Arabidopsis thaliana: one gene and its partner. The protein of the gene in region 2 interacts with the protein of the main gene of each other region in a pairwise test. Each region holds a gene or a part of one and is shown on either strand. Other genes may lie near its edges.

Evidence for each region. Proteins that work in one complex are often made in the same cells at the same time.
Region 1: the proteins of RNS1 (region 2) and NAC001 interact in a two-hybrid assay, tested with the Arabidopsis thaliana proteins (one large-scale study listed by BioGRID).

Annotation. Positions count from the first base shown.
Region 1 is NC_003070.9:1,247-11,291, reverse strand, and holds NAC001 (NAC domain containing protein 1), read right to left. Parts: upstream 7,662-10,045; 5' UTR 7,533-7,661; coding exon 7,379-7,532; intron 7,297-7,378; coding exon 7,016-7,296; intron 6,807-7,015; coding exon 6,687-6,806; intron 6,587-6,686; coding exon 6,197-6,586; intron 6,119-6,196; coding exon 5,966-6,118; intron 5,854-5,965; coding exon 5,662-5,853; 3' UTR 5,393-5,661; downstream 1-5,392. Other genes in the region: ARV1 family protein, read left to right, coding at 2,626-2,721, 2,828-2,875, 2,967-3,056, 3,305-3,350, 3,457-3,530, 3,643-3,728, 3,842-3,908, 4,060-4,135 and 1 more.
Region 2 is NC_003071.7:868,165-879,760, reverse strand, and holds RNS1 (ribonuclease 1), read right to left. Parts: upstream 6,256-11,596; 5' UTR 6,048-6,255; coding exon 5,934-6,047; intron 5,858-5,933; coding exon 5,702-5,857; intron 5,597-5,701; coding exon 5,398-5,596; intron 5,318-5,397; coding exon 5,094-5,317; 3' UTR 4,875-5,093; downstream 1-4,874. Other genes in the region: AT2G03010 (hypothetical protein (DUF577)), read right to left, coding at 1-23, 203-334, 442-514; AT2G03000 (RING/U-box superfamily protein), read right to left, coding at 2,554-2,921, 3,289-4,528; OTP85 (Pentatricopeptide repeat (PPR) superfamily protein), read right to left, coding at 9,482-11,293. UniProt on the Arabidopsis thaliana protein: May remobilize phosphate, particularly when cells senesce or when phosphate becomes limiting.

The DNA of each region.
Region 1 (10,045 bases), on a different chromosome or scaffold from region 2:
CTCTCTCTGATGGTCCTATTTTGTTTGTTTGGTTACTCTTGTAATTTTGCTCGGTTAAAGAGATTTTCTGCAGGTTATGGGCAGAGAAAATAAAGAGAAGCTAGCTATGGAAGAAGGACTGATCCATCCATTTAGTAATTCAATTATTATATTAAAAAGAACAAAAGGTATGATATGTTTTCACATTGTTTGACTTTTTTTATGATCACAGGTTCATTAATTTCTCATTTTTTTACTAATTCTAGATTCTTGTTTTTGTTATTAACCCTTGGTTATTAACTTTGTTTGGTTTGGTTTGGATTGCAAGTTGAAGCCATTTTTATCAAATCAGGTATCTTGTGTAGATCTCACAAACTCATGAGTACTTTTAGAATATATGTTAGAACCTAAATCATTTGTCAATTACTATATATATACACATATACCTACCCTATATATACACAGTTTACACATGTATATGTATAAATTGATATATTATTTTACGTGGACGTAAGGAACTTTTAAATGCTGTCTCTACGGATCATAATTTTCACCCTAAGCTGTTCAATAGGTTATTGACGTGTTCATTGGTTGATTATACATGTTTATAGTTTCCCATACTAAAATTGACTGGTACTTGCAGCATATTAAAAGTATGATCCCACACAACATGCTAACTAGGAACTCTCAGATCATGCTTCACGAACAAGGAATTTTTTTTTTTTTTGTTGTTGTTGTCATATCTACTATATATATGTATGTCAGATTGTCAGTATGTGCATATATACATGAGGTTACCGGTCCATGTACATAAACACATTCAGGTAAATAACTAGAAAGGTTGGGAGAATTACTATTCTGCATGTAGTCCATGAATATATGGTAAGATTGCGTTAATTAAGTGTTAAATTTTTAATCTTTGGCATGAAAGATCAAATCGACAAGTCATTTAACAGAATGTATTTCCCTCCCATTGCATAGACATACTTCAGTACACCTTATATTATCCATATCCTTTGTGATAGTTCATGTAACTAAGCACTCGAGACTCAAATCTTCAGTAGATGCATGTGTTTGTTTTTCTTTAGCTGCTAATTCGGATCGGATATGACATAGCGGATTTTGTATATCTTTAGAGAGTATGAGGGTCCGTATAATTTGTGATCGAATGATCCTAAAATAAGATAAATATATGAACCTACATCATTATAAGTAGGGTTAAGTGTGTATGATTGTGTATGCGTATAAAAATACTCCCTTGACCGTAAACATGAAACATGTAATATATAAGATATATAGACATGGAGACTATATCATATAAACATACATATATATATATATGTTAGTTATATGTGTAGCCCACATTTTTCGATATAGGGGAACAAAGTTACGAATAATGTATATGTTAGTTATATGTATAAAACATTTGCAAAGGGATGATACAATGGAATATGTAAATACGTATTCCAAATAGTCTACAAGTAGCAATGATATTGTGTAGATATGTCTCATAAAGGCTTGTGCTATTATATTGTGTAGATGTGTCTCAAAAGGCTTGTGCATAGTTGTCAAAAGAATATAAAATGCATTTTAATATTCAAAAGAATGCATGCATAGACTGATAGAAAAGAAGAAATAATGAAAATTAAAAGGGGAGGTATTAGTGAAAAGTACGGAGGTATTAAAATTATGAAAATGACTAAAGGAAATAATATTGTAACACATCTAAATGATTAGTTGTGTAAGAAGAATAAAGAGAATTAATGACATGCTCCAATTATTGTTAAATAAAATAAAATAATTCATTCTCATTAGATTCCTGACCTAAAAGAGACTGCAAATATGTAGGCCGGTTAGGGTTTTCATAGGCATGATTAATGATGATAAGGAAACTTCGTATTGGGGGTTAATGGGTTCTTTCCCTTTCTAATACATTTCTAAATAAAGTAATAATCAAATATTAAACTTTTAACTTACCGTTTCATTTTTATGTTGAGTTTACTTATATTGAAAGGAAACTATTTTATCTAAACCTCATTGTCAAATCTTTCATTTTGTAGCCATATGCTAATTACATGCAACAAAAGGAGTTTTTTTTGTTTGGTGTGGCAAACGAAGATTTATTTACCTTTCTTATTTAATCAAACTAAATAAATTTCTTCACTGTTGAATTGTAATAAATAATTTATTTTCTTATAAACTTATCCATCACAACTCACAAGTCATGAACTATATATAGAAAGTAACACGACAGTAATAATATTAGTGAACCACTAGACTTTTCAGTAAGTGTGGTAAATTCTGAAGACTAAATAATTTAGACTTAATATGTATATCTTTATCTGAGGCCTATAATATGTTTCATTCATGAACCTACGCATTTTAAAATGCTATGTCATATGGACAAGATTTTGATCCAAATTGAACTATTTATAAATTACAACGTGTATATGATTTTTAAATTTTGGGGTACAAATACCCCGGCTTAGAGCAAAAGTGGGCCTAACAAATTTAAAGTTAAGACTTCAAAAACTTGGCCCATGAATAAGCCCATTTAGGGTTAAAACAGTAGCCCAGACCCGGACTCTAATTGCTCCGTATTCTTCTTCTCTTGAGAGAGAGAGAGAGAGAGAGAGAGAGAGAGCAATGGCGGCGAGTGAACACAGATGCGTGGGATGTGGTTTTAGGGTAAAGTCATTGTTCATTCAATACTCTCCGGGTAACATTCGTCTCATGAAATGCGTAAGATTTTTGTATTAATGGATCTTCTTTGACCCAATTAGGGTTTATAAGATTCTCTATTAAATTTCTTCAAAGTTTCCATCTTTGATCATATTGTTATATTTAGGGAAATTGCAAGGAAGTAGCAGATGAGTACATCGAGTGTGAACGCATGGTCTGTTTTAATCACTTTCTTTCCCTTTTTGGGTGTTTCCCTATTTCTTTCCAATTTTGGTTTTTGGTTCTTTAATTGTTTTCTTTGGCAGATTATTTTCATCGATTTAATCCTTCACAGACCAAAGGTATATAGACACGTCCTCTACAATGCAATTAATCCAGCAACTGTCAATATTCAGGTAAAAAACTATTTCAATTCAAGTTCTTGATTTCAAGCATTGCTAGTTCCTGTCTGATTCTAGCTCTCTTATCTTGAATTGATATTACAAACTTGTGGAAATATCTGGCTTTGAAAATCTTTTTCCATATATAGAAGTATCTTAGACCTCAAGCAACAAACTAATTTCCAAGTTTGGGGATATTGAGTAGTCTCTGATCCAATAAGAATTGTTGGGTTCTTTTTTTTTTTTTGTGTGTGTGTGTGCAGCATCTGTTGTGGAAGTTGGTCTTCGCCTATCTTCTTCTAGACTGTTGTATCCTTTTGTTTTATAATCTTTTACTATCAAAGTGTAGCTAGCAGATGTGTAGTTGGTGAGATTCATCGGCAAACTTATTTGAAAAGCCCTGAACTCATCATAGATAGAAGCTTGCTACTGAGAAAAAGTGATGAAGAATCGAGCTTTTCTGATAGCCCTGTTCTTCTATCTATAAAGGTTAGATCGTTTCTTTTTAATGGACTTAATTAGATTTTTTTTCCTTTAAGGTTTAAATGATTTAAGTCATTGAGATTGTTTAGAAAGGGTAATAATTTCGCATTTGAAACAGGTTCTGATTGGTGTCTTATCTGCAAACGCTGCATTTATCATCTCTTTTGCCATTGCGACTAAGGGTTTGCTAAATGAAGTTTCCAGGTGATTACTGATTCTTCTTCTTCTTAGTTCTTATTATGAGTTTTTCATCAAAGATCTCAGACTTCTGTCACCTGAAGATTGTTTATGTATAATTTTTTTTAAAAACTTTGCAGAAGAAGAGAGATTATGTTGGGGATATTCATCTCTAGTTACTTCAAGATATTTCTGCTTGCGATGTTGGTATGTTGTAGCTTTACCTCTCACTTAATTCCTAATATTGAAGTTCCAAACTTCTTAAGCATTCCATAAATCATGCACTAAAGTTTCTTGTATTGATTAAACATGGTGTTATGTCTCTTTGCTCAAAAATAGAGAATCTTTGTTATTACAGGTATGGGAATTCCCAATGTCAGTGATTTTTTTTGTCGATATACTTCTCTTAACATCAAACTCCATGGCTCTTAAAGGTCAGACCTTCAAAATGTTCTCAATGCAAATTGTTTTTTGTTGTTGTTATTTTGGAATCTCACAATGCAAGTTTGTCTTTAAACCAGTGATGACTGAATCAACAATGACCAGATGCATAGCCGTATGCTTAATCGCGCACTTGATTAGATTCTTGGTGGGTCAGATTTTTGAGCCGACAATATTTTTGATACAAATTGGATCTCTGTTGCAATATATGTCTTATTTTTTCAGAATCGTATGATCCCATCAGCTTCCAGTATAGTCTTTTGGTTTGAAGATAAGAGAAACCTTTACATTATTATACCATACTGTATTTTATGACTAAGCCAAATATTATCGCCACCAAAAATTGAATTAGACCTTACTAAAATATCAAAAGTTAATTGTTGGTCTGTTACTCTGTGCGGGCGGATATAACTCAACCACCTACAATTATTTGCCCTACAAAAACCTTGTTCCTCACGATATCGTCGCTCCATCTTTCTTGGAATGCTGGGCATATGTGGTGGTACCCTCCTTGGAATGGTGGGCATATGTGGAACCCTCCTATGAATGTTGGAGATATGTGGGACTCTCCTATGAATGTGGGGCATCAACACATTGTTGCAACACCAAGTGAATGTCATAGGAAAGACGAGGAGACGGTTGAAGCCGAAGTTGAGGCTCCCCTTGATTCTTATCCGGAGAATGCTACTACCATGGCGAGAAAGCAACCAAAGGCAAGTTAAATATCTGAAAATGTTGAGAATTCTGATGATAACTAAAGCATTGAAACGAATATTGGGTTAACTTAATAATACTTATGCTTATTTTCAAGTCTCGTTTTGTTTTAATTGACTACACTATACTTCTTAGATCCGTTATGTATATATAATTTGACCTCTTGAACCAGAATGATCCAGCCAATGATGGAGATGAACAATAAGAAGCCAATGATCATGTTCTTGAGATAGTTCCACTGTGAATTCCTTTGACTCATCTCCTCTAAAACAATCCAGTTATGATGCTTAGTTGGAGCTTTCTTCTTCAGCCATTTTCCATTCCCACCCGTTTTTCTATAGACATATCACCTGCAACCCCAAGTCCATCATAATCCACAGTTGAAGATGTATTGTTTGAGATTTTGTATCGAAGTCATGTTACGCAGTGACATTGTTAACACCTTTTCATTTCCTTGCAAATGCAACTTTGGTTGCTAAATGAATCTTTGAGCCAACACCCTTTACTCATATTTGGGTCTCATGTAAAATCCCTTTCTTATACAAGACTATATATCACTTTATTTATATAAACTACACCACAAAACGATGCACTAATTATTATTACATATACTTTTTTCCAATTCATATATATGATTTTCTGCATTTTTCTTCTCTCTTCTTTCCCCCTTTTTCTCTTCTTTACATACTAATAAAATATAACTTCAAACTTTTCCGGAGCGAGAAAACAGAGCAAAGAAAAAAAAACAAAAAAAAACACACATTCTAAGAAATACAAATTTTGAGCAAGAATCCGATTTGACCTCTTAACCAACAAGAATGATCCAACTAATGACGGAGATGAACAACAAGACACCAATGATCATGTTCTTGAGATAGTTCCACTGTGCATTCTCCAAAACAATCCAGCTCTGCTTCACCGTGTTGGTGGATGGAGGTATCTTGATCGAGTCTTCAGCCATTTTCCACTCGCATTCGCTTTTCTGCGAACTTATCACCTGAAAGCAGACCCATAGCTCATAATTTAGAGGTCATTTGACTAAATCTTTTTGATGAAATGTTGATTCAGATTTCGTATCAAAGTCATGTTTCTCAGTGAGAGTGTTAAACCTTTTCTTTGCTCTGCTGCTTTGGTTGCTCTTGTGCCTTATAATTGTGCAAAGGCTCAATAATGTTCAATGATGGAATATCATCTATACGAGTATGGCCCGGTTCATCTGAACTACCAACACTATCAGTGGAGCTCGAAGTGTCTTCGAAAATCTGTTAAAAGCCAAAATTCAGCGTGTGAGATATAGAAGCGATATAGGTTGTGATTATATATGAGTAAAAAAAGCTTACCATTGATCCAGTTTCAGTATCACTGCTATCATCAGGCAAAACCCCAGACACAGGTTTTTTGGGCCGGTGATCACTGTAATGCTGTTGCATAGATGTCCTTTCATCTACCAAAAACTCAAAATTTTCTTCAATCACATGCTTCCAAATCATCTCCGACTCATTTTCATAAGGTGCCAAGTAAGGAACTTGCTGTTGCAGGTCGATATAGTCACTCAGCCACTGACCGCCGTGATTTGCAAAATCATACTCAAGGAGAGGGTTGAATGATCCTTGAAGTGGTTGCTGCTGCATAATGTTAGAGTTTTCATTAAACTGCTGGCCATGATTTGCTGAATCATACTCAGAGTAAGTGTTGTAAGATCCTGAATTTCGTTGACGTGATTGGTTGACCTGAAACGAATCAACAGTTTAGGAAAACATCAAATCAGTAGACACAAGCTCTTTTTTGATCTGCCTACTCAAAGCTAAGTGTATATGGAGAAAGACTCACCACAGAACCTGCACTACTAGTCATATTGGGGACAAAAGCGGGAGTGGGATCTATTGCATAAGCAGATAGAATGTCCGCATCATCACCCTTGTACTCAAGTCTGCAGATGACATATGTCCTCTGTAAAATTTCCGGAGGTAAGCACATAAGTTCATCAGTATAAAACATTGGTGAGAGTAAGCTAAGCCTAAAATAGCTGCTGAACCTAAATAGAGTTACATTACATAGTTTCTAATTTGCATAACTCAAATTCTAACTATGAATCAGCAGAAACCACATATATATATATCCACATATATATATATATATATATATGAATAGAAGAAAACCTGATGTTCTGGTAAGAGGTCGTAGTGGAACTCGTGGATAACCCAATCAGATTTGGTTTTGTCAGGGTATCTTCCATCGAGGAACACCAAAACCCTTTTATGACCAATCTTACCACGAAAGCCCTCACTACAAAATCCCCACTGGTCCTTGACCTCAACAGATTCTCCGGTAAGCTTCCATTTACCAGAAACCGTTGTCCTGCTCTGTCGATTCCCTTTGTTGTTTTCTCTACGAGAGAAGAAGTACCACATAGCATCTCTCGATTTGTACTTTGACTGGACTGTTCAAAACAAAAAAAAACCCTAAAATCAAAAACCTAAATCGATTACTTGCAAATGAAATTCAGAAAATTCGGAACTTACAGCGCAAGTTCCAAGGATCGTAGCTACAGATGTTGACCTCGCTGATGGCTACTTCAACGTCGCGGCTAGTGTTTCCTTCGATTTTGTTACGGAGATAGTGACCAACGAGCTCCTCGTCGTTCGGACGGAACCCAAACCCAACTTGATCCTCCATTTTCACTAAACCGTCCGATTTCAATGGTTTCCGGGTAAAGAGCTTCGCCGTCGATCTCTCTCGCTCTCTGTAATCTGTATTTCTCCGATTATGTATTTGTTTTCTCTGGTTTGGTATATCTAATAATTTGGAGGGAGGAAGACAGTGAAGTCAGCGTTTAAATAAGACAATTTATTCCTTTTATTTTTATTTTCTTAATTAAATTAATATGGATCTCCGGTTTAATTGGTATGGTTTTACCGGTCCTAACAATTTTAAAGATTATTAAAACAATTGATGGTATGAAATTTCATGTAGTAAACCGAGTAGTATTAACTATTAAGATTTATTAGTCTTAATCATATTATTTTTTACTTATGATGGTTTAGAATTTTAATCAATGTAAGTAAACAGAGTTCAGATTTAAACCAATTTAACAATTAAAAAAGATTTAATAATAAATTTTATAAAATCGGTTTGGGTGAACCGTGGATTGAATATCATCCTCTGTAGAAATTTGTATTCCCCTTTTAGTATTATAATAGAAGAACATATAAAATTTAAATAAATATAAATTAAGCCTTATAAAGGAAGGCTGGGAAGCTGCTGGGCGGTAATAATGGGTCCCTCCCAAAGCAAAACAAAGGAGAGCAACTCGAATCTGTCTTCTAGATTATGTGTGTGAACACGCCAAATATTTTCATCTCATTCGTTTTTTAACATTAATAAGAGTGTGCTTATTTTTAATCTTGAATCCTATCGATATGTTGTTAAATCCATCTAGAAGGTTGACTTTTTGAATCGCTGGCTAATTGTTAGCTTTTAATTTTGACCATGTTGTTTTGCTTGTCGCAAATGGTTCGTGGGGTTGCATTTTATCATGGAACAATGTATGTGTCTTACGAACTCATAACGATTGAGCCGTTTTCCAAACCGAACAAAATAATAACGTAACATCTTTAAAAGCATCCACGCCAGTAGATAACATACACATAGTAGGAAGTAGGTGATTAGAAAACTCTAATATCCCTAGAAAATTAGTACTAGTGTGGGATGCATGCAATTATCTAGTGGCTCTCATTAGTCACTAACGTGTGGTAGGTTCAAGTCTTCCTAAGTGAAGTTTTAATATTGGCAGAAATAGCAATATCTTTTAACAAACAAATAAAACCAGCATTATATCTCTGCCTACCTTTTCTTTCTACTTTTTTCTTTTGTCTTTTGGGGGTTTAGATAATAGATTGTTTCTACTTTTTGGATTTATCATGGTCGTTGGTATGCTTGTGAGTTGTGACTAGAAACGTTATGACATGCCTTCATAACAAGCCAAAATTTAAGGTAACGAAAGCGATATGTTGATGTATGGATTTCTTATTTTTCGCCACAACTAAAAAACATGGCTTTGGTGAAGAGAGGAAAAAATAATATAGGTTTAAAGATAGGATATATAGCTGTAGATATAGCTAAGATGATGAAAAAGGAACGACATTCTAAAAACAAAATCTACAAGGAGATTTGATTTCGTATCTCCAAATGACTTAAACAACATTCATGACCAAAATTTTCTTTTACTTTTGAATTTATGCGTATTATAAATTTAGAAGATAGCTCTTACCAAAACATAAAAGAGAACAAGTGGTTTGAAATGTTGACCAATATATGGGACTTTCATTGCAAGAAAGATGATAGTGAAAAAAATTAAAATAAAAATATAATAGGAGTCAAACATAATGAGGGGAATAATACTTTTGTTGTCGCTGGTTTGATATCACATGAAACATTTTACTATGAATACATGGTTAATATTTTTTATGCTGAGTAAATAAATATAAGTATCGAAATAGCATATATGTATATGGGGTTTTTGGAAGATTTTAGTGTCCAGACACTGAATTATTCTTTTAACAAAGTGAGTGACCAAAACTTAGAATTAGATTAAAACCCTGTAAAATATTGTTTTAAAAACTGTCTTTGATCCCTTCTTGTCATTGTTGGCATTCTCGTACCTATTTCCAAATTCATTCATGCATTTGGACAAATGATGATGTATGATATGGTCCATATCATATGGAGATAGATGTGGATGGAAGAACACATTATAAAAACAAAATCTTAAAGGAGATTTGATTTCGTATCTCCAAATGACGGAACCTTGGCCACATTCAGGACCAAAACTTCATTCACATCTTCCATATACAGTAATTAGAAGATTACCCAAACAAAAGTAAGAACATGACACGTGCTTTCACATGTTGACCAATTGGGGACTTCCCTTGTAAGAAAAGATTTTACTCATATACAATGAGAAGTCAAACTTCATTCACATCTTCCATAACATAACGACACTGACTCTTTACCTAATTTTTCTATGATCATTGAATCAAAGGTTCCTCTAATTCAACATCTCATTTATATAATCTAGATAGATAGAAAAAAAGTAAGTGAGAAGAAATCTCGGGATCTTTGGTGTTTCTCTGACCATTTTATAAGAATGTATTACTTATAAATTTATGAAAGAAAAATCAAGCAGATGT
Region 2 (11,596 bases):
CCTGAGGATCTTGATGTCAGATTCTTTGGTTTCTTGCATTGTAAGGCATAAAATCAAAAGGGGTTTGATTTCATAGAGAGAGTCGAGACGATTTGATTTTTCAGATAGGTGAGGGTCTCAGAGAGTTGAGAGATTGATCGGAGTCTGAGAATGCCATTGGAAGAAGATTGATAGACTTTAAGAAGCTTTAGGGTTAAGCAACCTGGGTTACAAGAAACGCAGATGTCGTAAAGCGCACGCGATGTTTTATACTCTTCGGAGTCTTGACGCTTAAAGAGATGATCGATGATCATCGCTACTTCTTCATGGCTTTCACTAACAAGAATCTCTCTCGCTTTCAACATAAGATTCAAAGATGAATATAAACCGGAACTAACCGTATGTTTAGTTGAAATCATTCAAAATGGCTGTCGTATACTTTTAGAATTATAGGCAAATAACTGTTCTTCCCACTCAGCTTCATCACCTCTATATCCACCATCATCATCCTCACCGCGAACACTATCATCTCCATCATTACATTTCTCAAGGTACCAAGGAGGCAAAGACGCTTCACACCTTTACCAGCAACACCATATCCTAATCTATATTTGTCTTCATCTACATTATTATACCTTATGACTTTAATTGAGGTTTGGTTTCTCTCTTAGCAATGTATCACCCAATTGAGTTTTTGTTGGCTTTGCTAATGAGAGGTTATAAAGGTTATCATAAGACACAATGAAGGTGTGATATTTGTTTGCTAGTGAGGATATAGATAGAGCTCATACACAATTAGGGTTAGTTTTGATTTCGAATAAAAAAATAGCTTTGTGAGCAAGCAATTTTCTCAATTCCGAAAATTAATGCATGATTAACATAATCTTATTTTGGGAAAATAATTTAATGATTCGAATATGCTATTTTGTTTAAGAAATATATGAAAATCGTATAGGATATAATTGAATAAAAGAGAGAATATGCCTTTGATTAGCTTTTAATTACATACAAATAAAATGAATGGTTAATATTAAAACAATAATATTTAGTATTAATTAGTTGTGATTAGATAAATTTGTATCATAAAATCGAGAATTTAGCAACAAAATCGGAAAAGTCAATAACTAATTTGCTTTAGAATCAAGTAAATGAATATTGTGATCAAAGAACAACATATATATGGTTAGTATAGATCTTTTCTAATTGTTTAGATTTTCTCAAATAATACGTAATTAATATGTGCAAGATTAAGACAAATAATTAATTATAAATTGTTAGTTGATAAAGTCGATTTGTAAATTTTTTTAAAGACAATATTTTGTCAAATAGATTTTGTTAGGATTAATATTGAAAATAGTAAATATTTGAGAGATTTTTCAACCAAAAACTTTATTAAAAATGTATATATAGATACTTTTTCAGCCAAGACTATGACTATTTGTACCATGGTCTCTTGGTAGCCTCATGTGAATCAAAATCTTGCTTCTCACTGTTTCTCTTGTTAGCATTTTAATATTGACTTTTGCTCCACTAAATTGGAAATATTTCCCCACATTTAGCATCATCATGACAGTTTGATAGCTACTCTTGTTTCTGGGAATCCGGTGGACCAACACGAACGAAATAGACATACCTACAGGAAGAAAGAAATCGGACAGTAGGAAAAAAATCCACCAATCACAAGCCTCCCGGTCAAATCGTCTTCATATCGCCATGCCTCAACCTAAACGAATATTTTTCTTTCCCCAATGTTTATTTTTTTAACTTTCTTTTTCTTTTTCTTTTTTTTTTCATGCAAAAAACTAATATATTCACTTTGTCTCTACTATTACTAAAGCTCTTTTGTGTTGGTCAATTTAACAATTGGTTTTTAGAATTTCGTCTTATATCTGTTGAAAGAATATGATAAAATAACAATTAAGACAGGAATAAGCGAGTATAATTCAATGTTTTTCTGGTATGCTTGTGTCATGACTTTCTTTCGAGAGACTGGATAGTTCATTTTTTTCACGTATATCGAGAAGCTAATTAACTATCTAGCATATGGGTTAGCTAATTATGCGTTTAGTTTGTCGCCAAGATTTCATTCTTCTACTTATGTTCCAGATATTGTTACTTTGCTCTTTGTAAATGATACGCGTGGGTCCACGAGACCGAGAAGCATTCACATATGATATTTTTTCTTTTAGTTTATGAATAAATTGTGAGTGACATTCTTTACCAGGGCCTACCAAAAAAGAAAAATTTACAAGTAGTACTCAAGTCATATAGTAGAAACGATATTGAGACAAAAAGAAAAATTTGGGTTACATCATAAAGGGGCTTATTGAATAGGTGAATATAGTGGAATCATATAGTACTCAAGTCTTTAATGAAGCACAGAGGGATAACACAACCAATGAGGAAGATTCAAATCAATCAACACAAGTGGATGGATAATTCAAACCAGTAGAGTAATTTTAGGTGATTGTGATAACCAAGTCAATAAGCCTCTTTCTTCTGATGTAACCTTGAAAGCAACAAAACATTTCCAATTACACAACTTTTGCAATTATAAATTTGTAATCTCTCAAATCACAACATCAAAAAGCTTTTATATACACAAGAAAGCTTGTATCTACATTGAGGACACGAGGTGTGAATCTTCAACCACTTCTCCACACACTCCAAGTGATACTTGTGTTTACATGGCAGCTCTGTTTCCATATCACTTTTGCTCCATTCCTCGAAACATATCACACACTCTCCTTTCTCCACCATCGCTACACGTGGTAACATCGCTACCGCCCGTATCGTTGCCGGCGATTCATTAGTCAACAACCGTGCGGTCGTCCTCGTCGACGAAACGGTTGCTCGTAAAGATATTTGCTCATCGATGAACCTCGTTAGTGTCATCAAACTCGATGTCCGCATGTTCGATGTCGATGATGTTACGTACGTTTCTGATCGATGAAGTGATCATACTTTACCAACTGGTTATGTTTCAAATTTTTAATTTTGGTAATGTAAACCAATATTGACAAAATTCGAAGGGAATATGATCTTCACATACGAATTCAACAATAGATCCTAATCATGCTTCTACAAAACATGATTCCAATTGAATTCATTACCTTCTCCTAAAAAAACAAAAGTTGACGTCAAAACCCTCATGCTGAGTCAGAAGATTCAGAAATCATAATCACTAGTCTTCAGCTTCAAGAGGCATTTTGTATCTACACTGAGGACACGTGGCGTGAATCTTCAACCACTTCTTCACACATTCCAAGTGATACTTGTGTTTACATGGTAGCTCCGTCTCCATATCACCTTTGCGCCATTCCTCCAGACATATCACACACTCTCCATTCTCCACCATCGCTACACGCGACAACTTTGTTACAGTTTTAAACGTCTCCCACAAGCTCCCAAATTGTATGTAAGAAGTTTGAGTGAATGAATTTGCTACTTCTTCACTCATTGTTATCATATTTCTTGCCGATGTAGGCATAATCTCTACTGTTGACATTGACGATGATACGGTTCCTGGTGCCAACATTGACGCTTGCACACTCATCCTGGTCGACGAGGACATTGGGAAGGTACCTCGTGTCGACATTGACGTCTGCAAAACCCTAGATGAGTTTGATGAAGGCACGTTTGTGGTCGATGTGGGCACGGTAGTCCTACTCCTAGTTGAAGAAGTTGTATTCGTCTCCCACAGCCTCCCAAATTGTATGTAAGGAGTTTGAGTACTGAATGTATTTGCTACTTCTTCGCTCCTTGTTATCACATTTCTTGATGATGTAGGCATAATTTCCGGTGTTGACATTGACGTTTGCATGCTACTCGTTGATGTCGACGATGATACGGTTTCTCGTCCTGACATGGATGATTGCACATTCCTCCTCGTCGACGAGGACATTGGGGAGGTACCTCGTCTCGACATTGACGTCTGCAAAACTCTAGGTGAGTTTGATGATGGCACGGTCGGCCAACTCCTAGTTGAAGGAGTTGTATTCGTCTCCCACAGGCTCCCAAATTGTATGTAAGAAGTTTGAGTGAATGTATTTGCTACTTCTTCGCTGCTTGTTATCACATTTCTTGATGATGTAGGCATAATTTCCGGGGTTGACGTAGACGTTTGCATGCTCCTCGTTGATGTCGACGATGGTACGGTTTCTCGTGCTGACATGGATGCTTGCACACTCCTCCTCGTCGACGAGGACATTGGCGAGGTACCTCGTCTCGACATTGAGGTCTGCAAAACCCTAGGTGAGTTTGATGTGGATGATGGCACGTTTGTTGTCGATATGGGCATGATCGCCCTGCTTCTATTTGAAGCTGCTCTATCCGTAGCGGACTGATGACGAGCATGGAAAAAACGGTCGTCGGGAAAATCTCCTCCAGATGACATTGAAGTATGTGCAACCCTTGGTGTCATCAAACTCGTAGATCGCATGTTCGATGTCGATGTTGGCAAGTTTGTTGCCGTAGTTGGAGTTGTTCTATTTGTAACGGAAAGATATCGATGATAAAAGAAACGCTCGTCACGCATATCCGAGGACATTGCAACTCAAAACCTAAAGGACAAAAAAAAACGAAATAGAGATTATATTAAGAGATCAAAGGTTTTTTTGTATGTCGTCATCTCTTGTTATTAAGAAGAAATAAAACAGATCGAGAGTTCTAAATTATGGAGAACGAAAACCTTATAGATAAGATTTTCTCGGCGCTTGTTATTAAACTCTTTATGGTTGATTGTTTTTTTGACATACTCTTTTTGTTGTTTAGATTCGACTTTTGAGTTACAGTTTCGTTAATGCTCTAGATTTTTTTTTGAATATTTAACTTTATCATAAAAAATAAATTTATCATATCAAAACTGATTTACAAAAGTGTTAGCAATTTTTTGTGAAAGATTTGTTTTCTAGTTTTAGAGAAAAATTGAACTATTTTCACTATATATTTTAGAGTTAAACCATGCGGATACGTAGAATATTATTGAAATTGAACTATATCATTATCCAATATCCCATAAATTTTTATTACATTAAATCTTCTTTTTGACCAAACCAATCTCCATGAACAAAAGATCGATGCCGGTTCAAGAGACTGAATTTAGAAATTGGAAACTAAAAAGAAGGGAATTCGATCTCAGCTCCACATTTCCCATGTGGGAAAACCGGACATTCGATTAAACCGGAACCAGACCGGTCAACACAAAGATAGACTTGGTACAATTGGCTATTACCAGAACCATCTCTGTTACACTCAACCCAAGGAGTGAAACCAATTGACTCTTTTATCGAATCTCTTATGCTCTCCAAAGAGTAAGATTTTCCATCCGGATTAATCCCTATTACATAATAAACCAATAGTTAGACCAATGAGATCCAAACCGGGAAAATAAAAAGGTACTTTGACATCAAAACGTACCGGCTTTGGTTAGAGCTCCAAGGAGATTGGTTTTCTGTTTAAGGTTAAGAGCGGTTTGGAAATATTCATGTTGATCGATAACCGATTCAGAGCAAGTACCATGCTTCTCCCATTCGTGCTCCCAAAACGCTTCACCTGAACCGCTTGGGCAAGCCAGTGTTGGCCAGCTCTTCTTCATTGAAGTGAGAAGATCTGATATCTGTACCAAACCAAATCAAACCAACCGGTTATGTACAAAACTTTCCATATTTTTTACCTTAAACCATATTTTTGACCTTAAAACAGAAATGTTTGATCTTATTACCGTTGAGCTATCGAATGGTTTAGAGGCATCACAGTTAGATGGATAAGTTCCATCTTTGTAGTTAGGCCAAAGACCATGAATGCCAAAATCAGCAGCTGGTTTGCCTGAATTTGGATAACAACACTTCTTCTGTGTGTCACAGTATGATCCTGGCCACTATACAATAAAACACAAAACAATATTAGATGATTATAAAAAATCATCAGAAACATTCTTAGAATGATTTTATTACTTGTTGGACGAAGTAGAAGAAATCAAAATCTTCAGAGGAAGAAGAAGCAGAGAAGACAGAAGGCAAGATTACGAGAAGACTGATCAAACACAATGATGCTAGAAGAATCTTCATCTTTCAAAGTTTTTTGTAAGAGAAGATTGTGATTTTGAGGGTTATAAGATTGAGATGGTTAATGGGTGAATATATATAAAGAGAAATAGAATCAGAGGAATGTGAATAGAGAGATATCAGTTTCCTAGTTTGTGTAATAATGAAATGGACAGATACATCAAAAGAATCTCGGAGATTTATGGTATATACTGTACCTTTTGTTTTATGTGAAGTGTATGTATGTTTACGAGATTTGTTTTTAATTTTGTTCTCCTTGGAATCTGAATCATATGAGATTACGTGTGGACATAGTTGTTGTGTTTTTTTTTAATTTTGAAGTCGTAACGTTCACACTTGTTTGTTAGAAGGTTCGTTTTGTATGCACGTAACGGCCCAATAATATTTTATATTTATGTTTTTAAGCAAGCCCAATTATTGATATCTAACTTATATAATCTATTAAGTTTAATGATTTTATCTAAAACTAAATTGCATTAAGCAATAATTTTTTTTAATTCTATTATATAAGTAGACAATAATGAAATAACTAGTTTGTAAACAACTTTCCTCAGAATTACTTCGTTTGAGCGATAATAATTTCAGATGACAAAAAAAGATAGATAATCAATTATCTTGAACTTTATAATTAATGTGTTAAATATTTATATATCTATATACGGAAGTATTAAATAAACAATCTTTTTGTAAGTAAATTTCGTGTGAAACTTTCTTGGATGTGTCTTAGTATTTTCTCATTTTCCTATAACAACTTAATAAATTACTACACGTAAACCAGAATTATAAGTTAACTTGGCAAATTTTCTCAAAATAAAATTACTCAGTTTGAACTCAAACTCGGAATATTATTGGTCCCCAGTTCGTTGCCGACAATTTTTCTTTGCTCCTATAGAAGAAGTGTTTTAATAGTAGACGATATCTGAACTGTATTTGTCCTCGTTGTTATTAATGATGTGTTTTAAATTTGTCACACAATGTCGATCAAACTTATTTGTCAACGAATTGTTTAATACTTTATAACTTCTTGAAAATAATAAAATAAGTAATGATTTAGAGTTGCTTTTCTAATTTTATTGAAATTTTTTAATTTCCAATGCAACATCAATTTTTCTTGCTTAAACTATCTACAATGGTTACTTATATACAACATCCATTTTTTTTTTCTTTTAATACTTCACATCGTCTTCTCTTTTACACATTATTATTTAACACCTATACAATTTTTATCTTGAATAATTGTTGAGAATACCCTTTTCACATTACCCTTTTTCAATTCTACTCTTTCCTATTTGTCATTTTTATTTTTACCTTCTTTAAATTTTAATGACCATTTACCGTTATTTGGAAATTGTTTTAGGTAAACAAAATGAAATATTAATATTTTTCGCCTAAAATATTCCAAAATAAATTTCCCACCAAATAATTTTGAAAAAACAATTTCCCGCCAATTTTTTTTTTCCAAAAATATTTTTCCCGCCAAATTTACACGAGATTTTAAAAGAGTTTTAAAAGAATTACACGGGATTTTAAAATATTTACAAGGATTTTAAAAGGGTTTAAAAAGATTTACAAGGGATTTTAAAAGGGTTTTAAAAGTTTTACAGGGGATTTTAAAAGGGTTTTAAAAGATTTATAAGAGATTTTAAAGGGCTTTAAAAGATTTACAAAGGTTTTATAAAGATTTTTAAAGGGTTCAAAATTGTTTGAAAAGTGTTTTAAAATATTTACAAGTGATTTTAAAAGGGTGTTAAAAGATTTACAAGGGATTTTAAAAGGGTTTTAAAAGATTTACAAGGGATTTTAAAAGGGTTTTAAAGATTTACAAGAGATTTTAAAAGGGTTTTAAGATATGTACAAGGGTTTTTAAAAGATTTTTAAAGAGTTTACAAGAAGATTCTTTAAAAACTCTTGTAAAATTTTTTAAAACCTTTTAAAATCCATTGTAAATCTTTTAAAACCCTTTTAAAATCCCTTGTAAATCTATTTCCCGCAAAAAAAAAATTACAAGGATTTTTAGAAGCAATTTTTTGGTTGTAAAAATTTTTGGCGAGAATATTTTTTTTTGGCGGGAAAAATGTTTGACGAAATTTTTTTTTTTTGGCGGGGAAAGAAAAATTGGCGGGAAAATTTCAGTTTCCAATTACATGTTCCTATTAGATGAGGATAATTTGGTCATTCTGGTCAAGGAAATGAGTATTTTTAAAAATGGACAACACGAAAGGGTATTGTTGCAAAAGGTAGTAAAAAAAGGGTAGTTTTGCAAATCTCCCTTTTATATTTACAATAGTTTTGTTTAATAAAATTACAATACCTTACCCCACCATTTTTATTTCATTTTTTTCATTTTATTTATGTTTATGTTTTTGTGATTACATATTATTAATCATTGTTAATATTAAATTAAATTAAAATAATTTTATAAATTATTTTTGTGTTAATATTTGTTTTTATTTTATATAATATTTTTAAAAACTTTTATAAATAATAAAAACGAGAAATAGAAATTATTATTACTAAAACACATACAATGAACATAAATTTAAAATGCAAAAATACAATAAGCACACAACAAGTAAGAAAACACTAATAATTTAATTAATACAATAATCTCAACTCACAAACTTAAAAATTTCATTCACCATGGAACATTCCGAATTGTGCTCGTATGTGTTTGACTGGATCTGCTTGCAATTCGTGATGTACATTTAAATCACGCAACTCGGACCTAGCACGCACATGATTTGTAAATACGGGTAGCACTTCGGTCGAGAATGGTTGTTGTGTACTCGACCTACTTGCCTCAAATTGATCATAATCCGTCCAATGTTGAGCATATGTCTCTCGTTCATCCTCAACAATCATATTATGCAATATGATACACGATCTCATGATGATAGCCAACACGGTTTTTTATTTTTTGTATTCAAATCAAATGAAAATAGTATCTATTTATAGAGAATGAAAATTATAAATTTTGATATTTTTATGTATAAATATTATAAAATAATTGAAGTTATATAATTGAAATGAAACAAAAAAAAATAGAAATCAAAGCAATCAATCAAAATATAACACTTGTCACACTTATTTTCTATCTTCTACTTTCAGGGATGTTGATATTTATCAACACTAAATTTGCCATATCACCTAACTTTTAATTACAACAAATCAATGTAGTGAAAATATTTTTTTCACCAGTTGTAAAATGGTTTGTTACAACAAATCATTGTAACTAGTCTGAGGTTAAATCAGCTTATTAGATTTTATTTTATTTTATTTTATTAGTTCTAACACTTATGAAAATTATTGAACAGGTGACACCATATCGATTACCATGTTAAATCATATTTTGAATCAATTTATAAAACTATAAGAAACAATACACAGTTATATGATTTTTAGCTACGGAAAATTATGTTGTTGGTCTGGAGATGACGTCACCAAAAATCCCCACAAGAACATTTTCCATCTTCAAAATGATGAAACCTTTGAACATCTCTAAGAACAACTTTCCTACCAAATATAAGAGATATCAACTTTGCTGCATTGTGACAATCTCTACACACCCTAAGATTCTTCACAACCCGAATCGTTGTTCCCGGAGGAGTATTCAATAATCCAAACGTTATCGCAAGCTTTTCGCTGTGATACCTAAGCGTAATTTCCTTCTCTTGGTCATTCATATTGGCGTGAACTACCATTGATGTATCAGGAACATAACCTGAAAGCTTTAGCTCTTTCACCATTTCATCTAATGCTCTGTGAAGCTTTGTGGTTGCAGACTTCACACCATCCCCTGAGAAAAACTCATGAACCACATTGTTTACCTCAATCGAGCTGCAACCGGGAACTTTAACCGCCTTTCGATCTTTCATCACCTTTCTTAAAGAATCTACATATTCCCATTTCTTGTTTCTCGCGTATAGGTTTGATAAAATCACGTAATCGCCACCGTGTGAATCATCTAGCTCAAAGATCCTCTCGCTAACCTTTTCAGCTAGGTCCAAATTGTTATGGCTGCTACAAGCAGCTAAAAGAATCCTCCATAGCATTGGTGTTGGGCTAATTGGGAGCTTATCAATGAATTCATATGCATCTTCTAAATTTCCAGCTCTACTAAGAAGATCTACCATAGAACCATAATGCTTAATACTCGGAACAATCCCAAATTTGCTAACCATCTGTGAGAAATACTTTCTCCCTTCTTCCACTCGACCAGTGTGGCTGCAAGCGTTTAACAGACCGAGAAATGTGATCTCATCAGGCTGAACATTTTCAGACCTCATTCTCTCAAACATCAACATGGATTTCTCAGCTTTCCCATGATTCGCATAAGCTACAATCATTGCTGACCAAGCTTGTGTATCCTTATACCTCATTTTTTCGAATATAGACACTGCATCATCCAAGCTACCACATTTCGCAAACATATCGATCAAAGCTGTGTTTACTTTCACATACTTACAGAAACTATGTTTCTTAGCATACTTATGTATCCATTTCCCTAAATCTAACGATCCCAACAGAGCACAAGATGACAGAACACTCAAAAGGGTAATCTCATTCGGCTTCAAGTACTTACCTTGCATTTCACGGAACAAAGATAAAGCCTCGTTCGGTCTGTTTCTTCTCGCATAACCCGTGATCATAGCATTATAACAAACAACACACGGCTCAACAATCCGATCAAACACACAACGAGCAGAATCCACATCTTCACACTCAGTGTACATATTAATAAGCGTTGGACAAACATAGACATTATCATCAAGCCCTAGTTTCATCGACAAACAATGCAATTGTCTACCTTCTTCTAACGCCTTTGCTACTGCACAAGCTTTGAGAAGAGACGGGAAAGTGTAGTTGTCAGGTAAAATACCATCTTCTAAGATCTCAACGAAGAGACTAAAAACCTCAAGAGGATTCGTGAAGCGAGAATACCCACGAGCCATAGAATTAAAAATGACAATATCTGGTTCAGACATTGCCTCGAACAAGTGGCGTGCATATGACATTGAAGACTCCGTTGGAGACTCAGTGCAGAAATTTATCAGCTTAGCGACGAAGGAAACATCTTCAATATGAGATTTGATCGCGTAAGCTTGAATTTGCATCAGCTCTCTTAGAGAATTGCATTTGGAAATCAGAAGAATCGGGTTTTGTGTATTCACAGTGTCGATTTTCGAATGCTTAGTGAACGTTTCTGCGTGTGAGAATGATGATATTAGTGAAGCTGAAGATATCGCCATTAAAGCTCTGATTTTGAGCTTCTCATTATTCAAACTGACAAATCTTGAGGATAACGATAAGCCTGTTATGTGATCATGACCCGATTGCAAAATTAATAATCAAATAACCCGACCCGACCCGAATTGTAATTTAATAATTAGGTATAAAAATCGTAAAAGGCGCTACAACGACCAATTTATTTTCCAATTTAATTTTGCTTTTTAATCTCTTTTATTTTTATTTTTATTTCTATCACCGAGAACGACATCGGAGACTTGAGAGCGGCGGCGAGCTTCACCGGCGCTGGTTAACGGCGGCCCTCT